2 linked regions of the Lytechinus pictus genome follow. The protein of the gene in region 1 purifies or fractionates together with the protein of each later gene. This does not show direct contact. Links are inferred from orthologs where the notes say so. Each region holds a gene or a part of one and is shown in the gene's direction. Other genes may lie near its edges.

The links. Proteins that work in one complex are often made in the same cells at the same time.
Region 2: the proteins of Golgi SNAP receptor complex member 1-like (region 1) and BET1 homolog purify together in Homo sapiens (affinity purification with mass spectrometry; 3 studies listed by BioGRID and IntAct, with this or other methods). This does not show direct contact. The link is inferred for Lytechinus pictus from reciprocal best matches to the Homo sapiens genes GOSR1 and BET1.

The regions. Positions count from the first base shown.
Region 1 is NC_087246.1:8,978,968-8,986,186, reverse strand, and holds the start of Golgi SNAP receptor complex member 1-like, read left to right. Parts: upstream 1-4,196; 5' UTR 4,197-4,211; coding exon 4,212-4,296; intron 4,297-7,219. Other genes in the region: DNA oxidative demethylase ALKBH2-like, read right to left, coding at 1,149-1,455, 1,781-1,923, 2,624-2,980. UniProt on the Homo sapiens protein: Involved in transport from the ER to the Golgi apparatus as well as in intra-Golgi transport. It belongs to a super-family of proteins called t-SNAREs or soluble NSF (N-ethylmaleimide-sensitive factor) attachment protein receptor.
Region 2 is NC_087246.1:2,291,951-2,299,615, reverse strand, and holds the start of BET1 homolog, read left to right. Parts: upstream 1-4,649; 5' UTR 4,650-4,750; intron 4,751-7,665. UniProt on the Homo sapiens protein: Required for vesicular transport from the ER to the Golgi complex. Functions as a SNARE involved in the docking process of ER-derived vesicles with the cis-Golgi membrane.

The DNA.
Region 1 (7,219 bases):
GTACGCATCAGGCTACATTTAAGTGTGACTCTCATACTTAAATCTTTGTGAAACACCCCCCTGGACATGTATCACAAAGTTTTAAATCTGAATAAAAGTCATGCCTAAGTTGCCAAATTGCACATGATAGTAAATCTGTAATGATATTTGATCAATATGCGATTGCACCCATCCCCTCAGCATGATATGACTGAGACTGCGGCAGTAATATGTTATAAGACACTCAACTGGAATTTAAATGTGATTTCGTAATAAGACTTGAATCATTTTGATAAATTGCCCTAGGGCAGTTAAGAATTTGTATTGATATATGAAAATCATGTGTATTCATAAGTTACATGAAAGGTAACTACTGTGCAAACAAAGTAAATATGGTGTCCAATACATAGTATTTGAACAATCCTTTATTAATTTGAAAGTTACAATCAGACCATTATGTTTAGTTGGTCATGACATCAAGTTCTAGCAGTTAGTACATTACACTGTAATCATATTTTGGCTTTTATCAGACAATGGAGTGCTTTGTCAATTCACCTACATTTTAGGATTAAATCTACTCTTGTTATGTGTATATCTCAGTAAGATGGGAGTTAGGGAGGGAGCACAATGTTTTGTGGATCCTCTTTCCCTATATCTAGTCCCACCTGATGAAAAAAGTGTAGCCACCTTCCTTTAAAAGAAAAAAAAAATACTCATGAGGACATAATCAGGATTTGTTTTGGATGTATGTCTCTAGATGTAATTAACAATTTGAAATGTTGACTTCTAGATTTTTTTTATACAACATCATTATTCAAAATTAATCAATTATCCAAGGTCAGAAATTACTTTTTGATATTCACTGTCCAACAATAAGGTCTTGTGTGCTGATAAATGTATCTGAAGATGAAGTGAACTCTGGTTCTAGTCTTCTACCTTATTCTAAACGAACACTGTGTATACAAAACACAATCTTCTTAGTGATATCAAGCATTATCTTTTGGCAAACAATCTACCAAAACTGGAATGGAATGGAAGATCGATTATATTTTTTGAATATGTCATTGTAACAGAAGATTCTAATTGGGCAATTAAATCTTAGTGGTAAGAAGACAAACATACAAAATCACTTTGGCTGTAACCTATTTCCCAAAAAGTCCTCTCACTGGTCACTTCTTGACAGTTACAATATCTCTGAATGTCATATTAACTCTGGTATTCAAAGCTTTCTTCCTGACAGGCAGCGAATGGTACCAGTAAACATTAGTAGGATAATTCATCATGAGTAAACTCCCATGTTCTAGCTCCACTTTGACTGGTGGTATCTTTCGTTTGGCCTGAGATCCTCGGGCCTCACAGTGCCTGAAGATGAAGTCACGGTTCTGTCCAAGAGACAGGGACGCTATAGGACTAGTTGAAACCAAGTCTTTCTCGTCATCCCGATGTTCACCCATGTAGTTATTTCCATCGGCATACCTAGATGTAGACAATATGACAGAAATTAGTGTCTTGGTCAAATGTTTGAGATATTTTTAAACTAATTTTTCATATATAAATGATGTATTACAATCTGCCTACCAAGTCAACTATTCCTGTTAAATGGTAGATGAAATGATAGAAAATAAAAATGGCTACATACCATATAAAAGTGGGAGAGAAGACAGAGAGGGGAGAGGGTGTGACTTTAGTACACTGAACAATGTTAATAATAAGACAAAATAAAGAGATAGAAGTAGGGAGAGACATACACAGGGAGAGAGAGAAAAATACAATTATAATTAAGAATTGAATCAAACCTTACCTGTTGATGAGAACAAAGTTAAATTTGAACCCTGTAACCTCTTGAATCCTATCCCTAATTTCTAATAACAGTGGTATCCATGGTTTAGCTGGAACAGTCACTCCAGAATATTTGTATGTTACACCTGCATCACCATGTGCTACCTGCACAGATTCAGAATAAAAGCGAATATTCTGAATTGATCAACTTAATTTTTAATAATTAGCACCCAAAGCAAAGCTTTCAAGTAGATTATGGAGAAACAAACTCTTGTCAGGGGACAATGACTGAGTCTTTCTAAGTAAAAGAACACCCACAAAAACTGAACTTCTTATTTTACTTTTTAATAGGCAGTCATCACTGTATGACAATATGTTCCACTACAGGCACTACTGCTGCTTTGGTTTTAAATGAATAATGCTAAAACATGCCTCCTAATTTGTGTAATGTAAAAGGCTACAATGCATACCAGATCATTGCATGTGAGGGGTGAGGGGGGAAAAAGATGTTCTAAGTTGAGAACACATTAACATCTTTGGAATGTAAGAATATATCACCACATGGAAAAAAAATCATTGTATCAGAAAATGAGCAGGCAACATAGAAAAACAAGATAATTATAGGGTTAGAAAATGATTGATAAATAGGACAAAACTGAACATCACTCTTTTCCATTGATACTGTAATATAAATTTAATGAAAACTTTTTATATCATTTTTGAAATTGAATTGATCACAGGTTCACAACTTGTTCAAACATTTTCTTGTATATTGATAATTGGTTTATAACAGAATGCAAACTAGACGTTCAGCTATTTAAAAGGTATTAAAGTCATATGATAAAGGCTAACTTTTAAAACTTACCTGTTTTCTTGGAATATCATGCCACTTTCCATAAACTTTAATCCTTGCAAGATCACCCGTAAAATAATCTAGAGACTCCTCGCAACGTTGGAACAGAATATCTGCCTCTTTCTTTGAATACAGATGCAAGTAATCACAGTCAAGATTCTCTCGGGATATTTTTTTCTTTTGTGGGATATGCTGGAGCATCCTAAGATCTATTTCTGAAGATTCAGTCTTGCTATCAATTCTCAACCGTTTAGATGTAGGTTCGTTCTTTTCATCCTTTTCTCCATCATGATCATGTTGGCTACCTGAAGCCAATCCTATCTCTGCAGGTTTCTTGACTTTCTTTTTTCTGGTGATATACTTATCCATAATTTATAATCTGAGCTGTGTCAATTCAACTCAGCATATTGCCAGCCTCTTGTTTCCTGTGGGAGGGAAAAAAGAAATTAGATCTCTGCCTGTCATATTCTATATTGGACATCTTGAGTAAGCAAAGAGGGTAGGCAACTTGGGGTATTATAATTATATGCATGATGGAAACTGTCACAATGCAAAGAACTGATCTGTGTAGATGCAGAGCAGAAATATTAAACCATGCTAAGTAATATTTTGATCTGATAGCCTACAAGTACAACTCGAACTTTATATCTAGACCAATATTTTCTGCTTCTGTTTATATTCGTTCCAATCCAAATCTAATGTTGGACTGACTTGTCCCGGGTTGGAGTGATATCACCATTGAAATGAATGAAATATAGACAGGACAGCTCGACAGCAGGATGTTGTACTATAATGTAGTCTTTTTAAGACTTAAGTCATGTAAGTTAAGTCTGGGCCCTGAGGGGTAGCCGAGCAAAGTTAATTATTTGAGAGTACAATCCAAATAGTCTATCTTTCTTCTCAAATTCTCAAACAGTGTGCATATATCTCTAGTCTAATGAAGCTCGCTCCTCAAAATTCTCAGTGACTAAACCATAAGCTGTTTCCACTTTCCAGTTCCACTCACTTCCATATTGGAGCATAACAACTATTATGCAATAAACATTGTTTTCTGAATATACTAACGAAATATTTCGGCAAGAAAGATTTAGATATATTTACGAGTGAGCACATCATTATTTTATTTAAATAAAAATATTTGATTCAAAACACATAATGAAAAAATCATTTTTAATGCATAATATTAAAACAAATTATTTAAGGAGAAAATAATTCGAACCATATGATAATTTCAAAACTATTGATTTTTTTTTAAATATTGCCTTGCAAGATTGGCAAAACGATTCACTCCTGCGCGAATTAAATAGTGCCGATATCTTCATTGTTTATGTTGACTGAGCTTCCACGTAGTCGAACGGTGACGATTTTGATATTCAATTTTTCTAATTTTCAGCCAAATTGAACTGCAAGTATTTACTGTACGTATTATCCTTGGATTGAGTAAGAGGAAAATGCGAAACATGTCTCAAGGAAATCAATGGGAAGGTGAGAAATTAAACATGTACGACTCGGATACGATAACAAGTCGAAGTGAGTCGACGAACGAAGGTGGTGCTGCCCGTGTTGGTGTGTAACAGTTGAGTCTTGAGATAGTCATGTCATGACAGTGGTGTGTGACGGAGGCTCCGCTAGCGCTGCCGTCGTGGCGCGTGCGTGGCCGGCCGTAGCCAGGCGGCTTCTTGAGAGTAAAAATCATTTACTAACGTAGGCTTACTCTAAATGAAGCCAGGGAGTCCTCCCTATTCACCTACACGAAGGACCCCAAATTTTGCCCAAAACCTGAAACTTTCACCCCCGAGATTTCTACTTTCCTTAACTAAAATATCTAGCTCTAAATCATGTTGTTGGGATAAAACTTCATTTCCGACATTTCTACGCTCTCGTTGTTATTTTTAAACAAGAATTCATTAAAAAAATGAGAAAAACATTGTGAAAAAACGGAAGAGACTTGCCCGATGTTTACGCCGCCATCTTGTTTCTTATTGTACTTCCCCAACGTTACGGACGCGAGCGTCGCGTTTTTTTTTTTTTTTTTTTTTTTTTACAAAATATTCACAAGTAAAGTATACAAAACCAATTCAACGAAATAGTTACCACATTGACGGGTGACGGCAAGATTGTAAATTATGATATAAAATCATTGACGAAAATGTGAAGTAGTTCATGGAGTTTCGCCGGTATCGCGATCCAAAAATTCTATTCCGATCGATGAATGCAAGCTGTGCTGGGAAACCGTTCTGAAAAAAGTATGACCTCACTTAGCGGACCAAAGTTTTTGTGGAGATTCAAACAAAAAATCAAGCTCAAAAAGGTAGAATTTTATATCAGATTGACGACAAAATGCTAAAAGAATCAGTGAGTTCCACATTGATTGAACTCACATTTTTATGATATCTGCTTGCAAAATGATATCATGAATTCATGATGCTTGTTGAGGATATCAGATTTCTTCGGAACGGGCGCTAACGGTGACAAATTTCCCAATCTTTTCATGAATACTCAACTTATCCTAACAAAACTTACGCCAAAGGGTAATTTTAGGTCGCTTTTTATGTTGATGATGTCAGATTTTAAGGATATCGGCTAGTCTTTGAGATAATGACCTTCCGCGAAGTATGGCCATACTATCATCCCCCGGGGGGCCAGTCAAATATATTACTGTACACACGCGTGACCAAAAAACGCGTTAAAGGAGAATGAAACCCAAAATTGAATACCACATAATATCATTGATAAGTACATGCCAATCAAAATGAATCCACTTATACCCCAATCTGATTTCCCAGTATCGAGTACCACCTCTTCAAAGTTGGGCTTCTTCAGGTTCGAAGTCTCTGAATGGAGATCGCCATTGTTGTGGGGTTTGTTCAAAATTGTGACGTCAGCGACGTACAACTGCTCTCGGTAGTATCGGTACTTCCATGTGCATAACGCATAGCTAGCTATACAGGCTGAAACTGCCCCCAAGTTTGCATAATATAGATACTTTTTTTACCAGAAATAAATAAAATATACACATAAAACACTTAGAAATAATATTAAAAAGCTATTTAAATTATTTTATGGATTAAAAACACAAATTGATGAGTTTTGATGAAAATTTTTACAAATTTATTCACGATATCCAAATTGGCAAATTTGACAAAGCTAAATTTGTACGTACTGTCCGGACCGTCATGTACCCTGAACCGAGTGATCGTGTTATGTTGGAAGTTTGGTTATTTATCCCGTTTGAATATCGGGAAATTGTTGTGTTATATTTCTATATATCTAACGTTGTTTATTATTTGTTACCGTCGATTTTAAATAAAACAAAACATATCGCGGACGTTTGTATTGAAAAGGATGGCCGAGAGCCTACGACTTCGAGCCACAAATAGATCTACTCGGCCGAAGAAATCGCTCAACGAGCAGAGCTAACTTAGAGGTATTATAGAGTAGAGCCTAGAGGCACGTTGGCGCACGGTCAGCAGCAGCCACCCAATTTTTATTTAGGGAGATTTCTGGCCTCAGCTTCTGCGGATCGTGAATTAGGTAAAAGCTAGATGCATTTTGTCCCCTTTTCTGACCGATTTCAGCAGCCATACGCTTGGCAGTATACCATCCTGATCAGCATTGTTTTACGCCAGCAATCACAGGCGCTCGCCGGGGTTGGACACTGAGGTGTACGTCGCTGACGTCACAACCCCCCACGGAGATATGGGGAGTATGAGCAAAATGGCGACCTCCACGGGTCTTTCGAATATCAAAATATTGATAACTTTGAGTTGGCATATCATGGGAAATAGGAAACCGTTCTGCCTCATTTTAATTTTATTTTAATTAGTGAAGTGTAATTGGCTTATGACCAGATAATAAATCTATCCTTTCATTTTCCTTTTAATAAGGGTATCGAATACACCAATTTTCAAGAAAAAGGGTTGTTTGAAAGACTGGTCAATGGTAAATCACGGGTTCAAACGTATTTAGGGTATACATGTTTTTTTCCCCAAAGCTTTTTCCCCGAGGTCATATTTTGGCGACAACTTGTTTAGGGGCCAAAAATGTGTAAATAAAGCTCGCGAAAAACTTGTTTAGGGGGTTATTTTGCACACAGAGAAAAACTCGTTTAGGGGGTGTTTGAAAATTCCTTGGTCACGCGTGTGTACAGCAATATATTTGACTGGCCCCCCTGGTATCATCCCCATTCACCGACGGTAACGGTAGTCCGTTAGTGCAAGCCTCCATGTACGTTAATCATCATGATCATGTCGCCCAATTCGGGCCTACTAGATCTAGAATCTAGTGTTAGGTCTAGATTTTTTTTTTTTAGGTCTAGATCTAAATGACATATCTTGAACGATGGCCCACTATTTTCGTTAGACTCTAATCTTTCTTTATACTGCGCATATTCCAAGAAAATGTAAGTAGGTCAACCTTTTTGTAATTTCTGACATTCCAGAAATCTCAATTGTTCGAACTATTCGATTGTTTACTCTGGTGAACGATCAAATGGCAAAAGGGTATTCGTCCCTTACTCCTATTTTCTTCTTACAACCCTTAAAGCTTCTCTGTAAAATGAAGAAAAGATGTATCCTTGCCTCGATCAATACAAAATGTCAACACATT
Region 2 (7,665 bases), about 6.7 Mb from region 1:
ATATTGATTTAAATTTTATTATTTAATTTAATTATTAGATAAGGAAATTTGAATTTTATTTCTGTAGTTAATCAATGACCTGCTGTCAGATATGTCTTACAAAAACCACTGAAAGTACATTTCGTCAGTGATTTTACGAACTGGCGCAAACCTAATTTCGGCCAAATTTTTGAAATTTATTTTTTTGCATATTCTGAAAGCCTGTGATTTAATCTATTGATTTGCCAAATTTCAGATAAAAATTTGTATTATTTAAAAAAAAGGGCATATTTAATATTTGTACGTACCGGCTCAACCTCCTTTGATTTTATGAACTTGCTCAAACCATTCTTTGTGTACTATAAAGTCTCTGGAATGGTGCGCACAGGTCAAAGACCGACCTAGATGCGGCGCTTATGCCGGTGCGTATGTGCTTTGCGCAGGGTTTGTGCCTCTAAAAAAAACATACGCATGGCATGAATGATTTTACAAGCTGGCTCAAACCGTGGTTTGTGCCGCTAAACAGCAGTGGGCATGGTGCGCGTTATTTTACGAACTGGCTCAAACCCCCTGTTTTGGGTAAGAATTAGCAGCTCCTGAAATGCATACAAGCGCTTCCTTTTTAAATATTGAAAGAATAAATAAGAATTGCAAACAAAATTTTGTATATTACAAAAGAATAGACTGTATGCTTTAAATTGTTATAAATAATTGATCTGGTTTCTTTCAAAGCGCAAAGTTATGAGCTTCTGAAAAACATCGAAACTTTGAATGCAATTATCTGGAAATCATGTTTTGGAGACCAGCTGAGGTTTGAGCCAGTTTGTAAAATCACTGACGAATTTTCCATAGAAACTTTAATTGGTTTTTCTAGTTCTAGAATTAAGATCAATGTCACATTTCACAATATGCAAGGAGACGGGGAGTTGTGCTCCCTCTTTCTAGACACACTTGAATGTCCTTCTAGTAAAAAAGTGTTATGATGATTATGATAATGATGATGATGGTGGTGGTGGTGATGATGATGATGATGATGGTGTTGGTGGTTATAGTGATGGTGATGATGATGATGACAAACTACTTTTAAGTTAAAGCATATATACATATGAAAATCATAGAATTTACTTTTTATGCACGTTTACAGGGGAGGGGAGGGGACTAGGTGCTATTATAATTACAAGATATATATGCATTTTAAAAAAGTACCATAAATAATCTTACTTTGATTTTCAAAGTACCCAAATCATGTATTTTGTCATGCTTTCGTTAGCCTAAATAATGTCTAAAATATATGTTTTCATGTTAGGATGAAATATATACCCTTTCTATGCACCATACACACAAGGCTTTTTAAAGTATACATTTTATTCCTGATTTGGTTATGATACATTTCAAAGTACATCGCCCCACGGTGATAAACAACTCTCAGTATTTGTATGCTACTGTGGATGAGCATTGTGTCTACTGTGCACTATAATGGAATTGCCTGTATTGAATAACTAATGATAACTTATGAATATAACATTAGATACTTGAAAATTATTGATTCCAGTGTGTGAAAATGAAAGAATAAAATAAATGTAGGTATATGTATAATAATAATACTGTTTTACATGACTTTTTGTTGAGACTACAGTCATCTTGGTTGGCATGTTTTAATTCAACATTTATAAGTGTCATTCAGATGGTATTTAATTAGTTTTTTTAATGAAAAAAAAATTAAGGAAAAAATCTAGCCCGAAATCAATCCAACATGAATGAAAGTGAGTGATGGGTAATTTTACAATCAAGGTAACCCAACTGTCGCATTTGATTTTCTTTTGTGCATGTGTGTGTTATAAACAAGTGAAATGATATTTCTTTGAAATTTTGAGGCATATTATTTCTATAAAGATTCAGTCATGTAATTTCATGTGCTGACATTTGCTTTTTTTTTTTTTTTGAGAAGTAAGTGGATGTGGGCAACATTCTAAGTTTGTTGTATAAACAGCCAAACCTGCATTAGTGGCCACCTGTCTATAGCAGCCACCTGCCTGATGACTAGAGTGTCCACTAAAGCCAGTTCCCATAGAGGCAGATTGTGGGTGTAAGAACCCGTCTATAGCAATCCCCTGCTTATTCCCTTGAAGGCATATTGTGTGTATAAGAACCTATCTATAGCAACCCCTGCTTATAGTGACCACTAAAACTGATTCCCTTAGAGACAATTGTGTGTATAAGAACCTGTCTACAGCAACCCGTGCTTATAGTGACCACTAAAACTGATTCCCTTGGAGGCAGATTGTGTATGTAAGAATCTCTCTCTAGCAACCCCCTGCTTATTCCCTTGAAGGCAGATTGTGTGTATAAGAACCTGTCTATAGCAACCCCCTGCTTATAGTGACCACTAAAACTGATTCGAAGGCAATTGTGTGTATAAGAACCTGTCTATTGCAACCCCTGCTTATTACCTTGAAAGCAATTGTATAAGAACCTGTCTATAGCAACCCCCTGCTTATTACCTTGAAAGCAATTGTGTGTATAAGAAACTGTCTATAGCAACCCCCTGCCTATAGTGACCACTAAAACTGATTCCCTTTAGGCAGATTGTGTTTATTATAAGAACCTCTCTATAGCAACCCCCTGCTTATTCCCTTGAAGGCAGATTGTGTTTATGAGAACCTGTTATCTGTCTATAGCAACCTCCTGTCCATAAAGGCCACATTTTGTGTTTCCCTTGGGTGTCACTATGACAGGTTTCACTGCATAGACAAAAGCATTCGTAATTGATTCATGACTATGTGTAAAAATATCTAATTCAGAGCTAGAAAACATTTTTGGATAGAATTTGCACCCCATTTTTGGTTAATAGTCACCAAAAAATTTCAACATCTTTGGGGGAATTTCATTTTTCATTTTTGAATAAGGTTTGATTGGCAAAACAATGCCTGATTATTTCTAAAAATAGAATGTGCAGGCTCGAAATAAGGGAAAATTAAACTAAATGAGAGTAATTTTGGCCCTAAAATGCCTGCTAAAGGTAATATATAGAAAAGTAAACTTGTATTTCAATCATTTTCTTTGCAGGTTGCTCTGTAAAATAATATTTAAATTGTGAAGCAAAAGGTCACACAATTATTTCTCTAGTTATAGGAGATAAATCTTTTAATTACATATTCCATCGATTCATTTTTTGGAGAGGACGCTTTGGACAGAAATGGATTTGGCAACATAGGAACATGAACTACATGGCGCGATAGCTCAGTCGGTAGAGCGGGGGTTTCGAATTTTGGTGACCCGGGTTCGATTCCCAAGTGGTGCGCTAGTGCCCTTTGGTAAGGCATTTATCCTCATTACCAAGTCCCTCGGAGAGGACCTTAAGCCATTGGTCCCCTGGTTGCTTGCTCACAGGCATTCATGCTTTCTTAGCAGTCAGGTAAAAAACCTCGGTATAACTAAAATAAGTGGATGCGTGTGGGCAAAGTGGACACTTTAAAGGGGAAGTTCACCCTGACAAAAATTTTATTGTAAAAATAACACAAAGCACAACAGAAAATATTGTTGGAGGTTTGAGGAAAATCCATCAGAGATTTAGAGATGAATACCAGTTGTGGTAACGATCTCAAAATCAGTTCGAACAGAATCCAATAAAATTATCACCAAAGTGTTTGTATGTAGGTCCTATAATGAAAAAAGATGTTCCAAATATCTCTGGAAGAAAATGCGTAATTGCTGACAGAAGCGGATCTAGAGGGGGGGTTGGGGGGGTTGCAACCCCCCCAAAAAAAAAAAAATCCGGGGACCATTTTTTTAAATCTTATCTTTTTTTTTAAACTTGTAATTTTAGAAAACGCCATTTTCACACACAGATTTTCAAAAATTTTCCCTACTGTGGGAGGGGGGACACCCCCCTCCCACACCCTCCCCCCTCGCTCGCTCCGCTCGCTTGGACTCGGTCGCTACGCTCCCTCGCATACCACCCCAACCCCCCCTTTATAAAAAGCTGGATCCGCCCCTGGCTGAGAAATGAGCAAAATAAGCATGGAATTTCATAAAATGTCAGTTATTTTTCCAAGCAATATTAATACACTGTTATGGCTTGATGGTAAAAATTATCGGTTTTCAGCTAAAACTTCATGATTTCACAAAGATAAGTTATATCAATGTACCAGATCTCGATGTATGATAAGGTAATATTTTAACAATTAACCTTCAGACTTTTTCATTAAATAATTGTTTGCTTCAACTACTTTCTTTTACCCTTAAATTCTATGAGCATTTTAATTTTTTATTTTTGACATCACATGTGAGCATCTTCACATGTATCAAGAATTATGAAAAGTCAGTCGAATGTCACTTTCTCAAAGAAAAATTAAAAAGGGTTTTTAACAGGGACGTCCCCTTTTTTCAGTTACAAGTGTTAGCTTTGTAGACAAAACATTATTAATTAATTTCTAACTAGATCGAACTGTTATACATAAAAATACAGAATTAGGAGAGGACATTTTCAAACACCCAATTTTCGGTTAATAATAGTATCAGAAACAATCAAATTATCTGCATAATTGAATCAACAAATGGATTGCTGGTGAGGAGAGAGGGAAAAAATAGGAATTCTTGTCTACTATGTTCAAGTTTTTTTCCCCGATTATGTATAACTTTGCTATAGTACGGTATTACTGGTAATAAATAATCGGCTACGTTCAATTATTTCTGCTACGTGTTATTCAATTTGGTTGGCGAAAATAAAAGGGAATTTCGTATTTTGATTGCAGCCAGGAGGCGGATGTTTGTAAGTAGAACTATACAATCGGTATAATATTGTAGCTCTTGACTAATATTATAGATTGATGTGTTGGCTGACACTTGACAGTGAGGTTTTAAGTTTTGTAGAGCTTTGTTTGAGCCGTGGACACTTGAGTCGGAGACTGAGCTGATGCGCAGTGACTGATCTGTCCTGGCTGTGTCTGATGTGGCAATGCGCCACAACTGAGCCGTGGCGCGGCGGCAGCGCAGTGGGCGCTGGCCGGCGGGCACCTCAGGCGATGGTTCGTGTGTATGTAGACAGCTGGCAGACGTCTGTTTCGAGGAGTCTTTTAAACATTTTTAAAAATTTCTCATAATGAGTCATATGCAGACGGCTCGGATCATGCAGGTTAACAATGCAAAATCCCCCCGATCAATGTGCTCATCGATTTTTTACTTGGGCCCTAGTTATATTTTGTCTTTATTTCATTAAAAAATATAAGAAATAAGAAGAATTCAACTGGACCAAAATAAAGATTATTTTTCTGTTTTGGCCTGAAATGCACCAAAACGGGAAAAAAATAAACTTAAAAGGACAAAAACAGTGATTTACTTCGGCTGTCGCGCAACTCCCACTTTCTTGGTTTGTCCGAACTTAATATGGCCAGAGTTCCTGTAACGTTGCAGATCAAGTTAGAAGTAGCCTAGGTATATAGAACTTCTGTCTCTGTCAGGGTGACCAGATTTCACAAAATGAAATACGGGACAATCGACAAAGCACGCTGCACGAGCGGGTGGACCGAGCCAGGTCTTAAAGGACAAGTCCACCCCAACAAAAAGTTGATTTTAATAAAAAGAGAAAAATCCAACAAGCATAACACTGAAAATTTCTTCAAAATCAGATTTAACATAAGAAAGTTATGACATTTTAAAGTTTCGCTTAATTTCACAAAACAGTTATACATGTATGCACATCCTGGTCGGAATGCAAATGAGGAGACTGATGACGTCATCTACTCACTATTTCTTTTGTATTTTATTATTTGAAATATGAAATATTCTAATTTTCCCCTCATTGTCAAGTGAAACAACGATTAATTCCTCCCTGAACATGTGGAATTAGCATTGTTTAATGGTTCAGTCAAGTTGGCCCTTATTGTGAAATCTGTAAAATATGAAATATTGTATAATTCAAACAATAAAAACAAAATAAAAAGTGAGTGATTGACATCATCGACCGACTCATCTGCATGTCACTGAGTTGTGCATATCAATTATCACTGTTCTGTGAAAAATAAAGGAAACTTTAAAATTCCATAACTTTCTTATTCTACATCCGATTTTGATGAAATTTTCAGCATTATGCTAGTTTGATTTTTCTCTATTTATTCAAATCAACATTTTTCTGGGGTGGACTTGACCTTTAACAGGGCGCGACAAAACCGCTTGCCTGGGGGAAGTGAAAATGACCTGCGGGCAAGCATTTATCAAAGTCAATTGCCCGATCGGGCAAGTGGTTGTTTTGAAAATGAAAACGATATTACAGTAAATTTTAATAATTTTTCGATAAATTGCAATTATCGGCCAATTATCTCTCATAGTCATACAAAATGTCATACCAGTAAAAAAACAGTGGGAACATGTCAAATCAGCGCCAATTTACCGAAAATTTATCGCCAGCGGTCCTGTTCGATGGGGGCTGCCATCTTTATTTCTAAACTATACTGTGCGCATGCGCTACTAATTGACGAAGGAGCTAGCTGGGGAAACCCCTCTCTCGCCCTCTTAGCGCATGCTCTAATACATCGGCGCTACAGTACATGTACGTACGTACACGAGCGATCGCGAGCCAGCCGACTCTCGAGCTAGATCGCGCTGAATGCATGCAAGCTTCGGACTGACTCGGCCAGGACTCGGCATCAACTTCAAACCAAATAAACAATGAGTCGTCAGACTAAAATAGGTGACTTTTGTTGTCGCGATCGGCGACCAGAACAACTTGAACAAGAGTCAAGAAAAAGAAATGCCGAGGCCAGCGCCAGTAAATCAAGTTCAACCAGGACAGAAAAGAATAATTAAGAGCTAAAGAATTTTTGAAAAATATCGGGCAAGCAGTTTTTTCTATCGGGCAAGCAAATTTTTTATCACTTGCCCGACATGGGCAAGTGATGAAATTCTTTTTTGTAGAGGCCTGCTTTGTTAAAAAAAAGATGAACAAAGAAGGCTACACAGTGTTAGACTTCACTTGTGAAAAAAATATAAAGAATTGGAAGGGAGGGTGAACAAAAGAATGAAGGGGAGAAAGAAAAGACGAAAGAAAAGAGATGAATTGAGAAGAAAAACAAAATGAAGGGGGAAATGGAGAAAATTTAAAAGAAAGGTTAGAATAAAAGAAGAATGGAAGAAAGAATAAAAGAGAGAAAAAAGGTTTCCATCATTCTTTGAAATGAATATAGATAGAAAGAAAAAGAAAAAGAAATGAAGGAAAGATGAATAAATGTGTGAAAGAAAAAGTAAAGGAGAGAAAGGAAAAAAAAAGTAAGAAAAAAGGAGGAGGAAAGAAAGAATGAAAGAAATAAAACGGTTTCCTTCATTCTTTGAAAGAAAAAAAGAAAGAAGAAAAACAGGAATGGAGGAAGGAAGAAAGGAAGAAAGGAAGGGAAAGAAAGAATAATGGAAAAGAATTAGAAGGAAAAATAAAATAAAGAATGAAAGAAAGGATGAAAAAGAGGGAGAATAGTATGAAAAAAGAAAATAATGGAAGGAGAGAAAGAAGGAAAAGAAAAAGGAGAGGAAGGGAGAAGGATTTTTTTTTTTTTTTTTTTATATATTTCAAATAAAAAAAGTAAAATGTTTTAGAAATGAATAAAATTTCAAAGTGAAACATTGTCAAACTTAAAAAATAGATGAAACATCGCGGCCATACACAGGCATCACTCCCATCCCATTACAAGGTCGCAG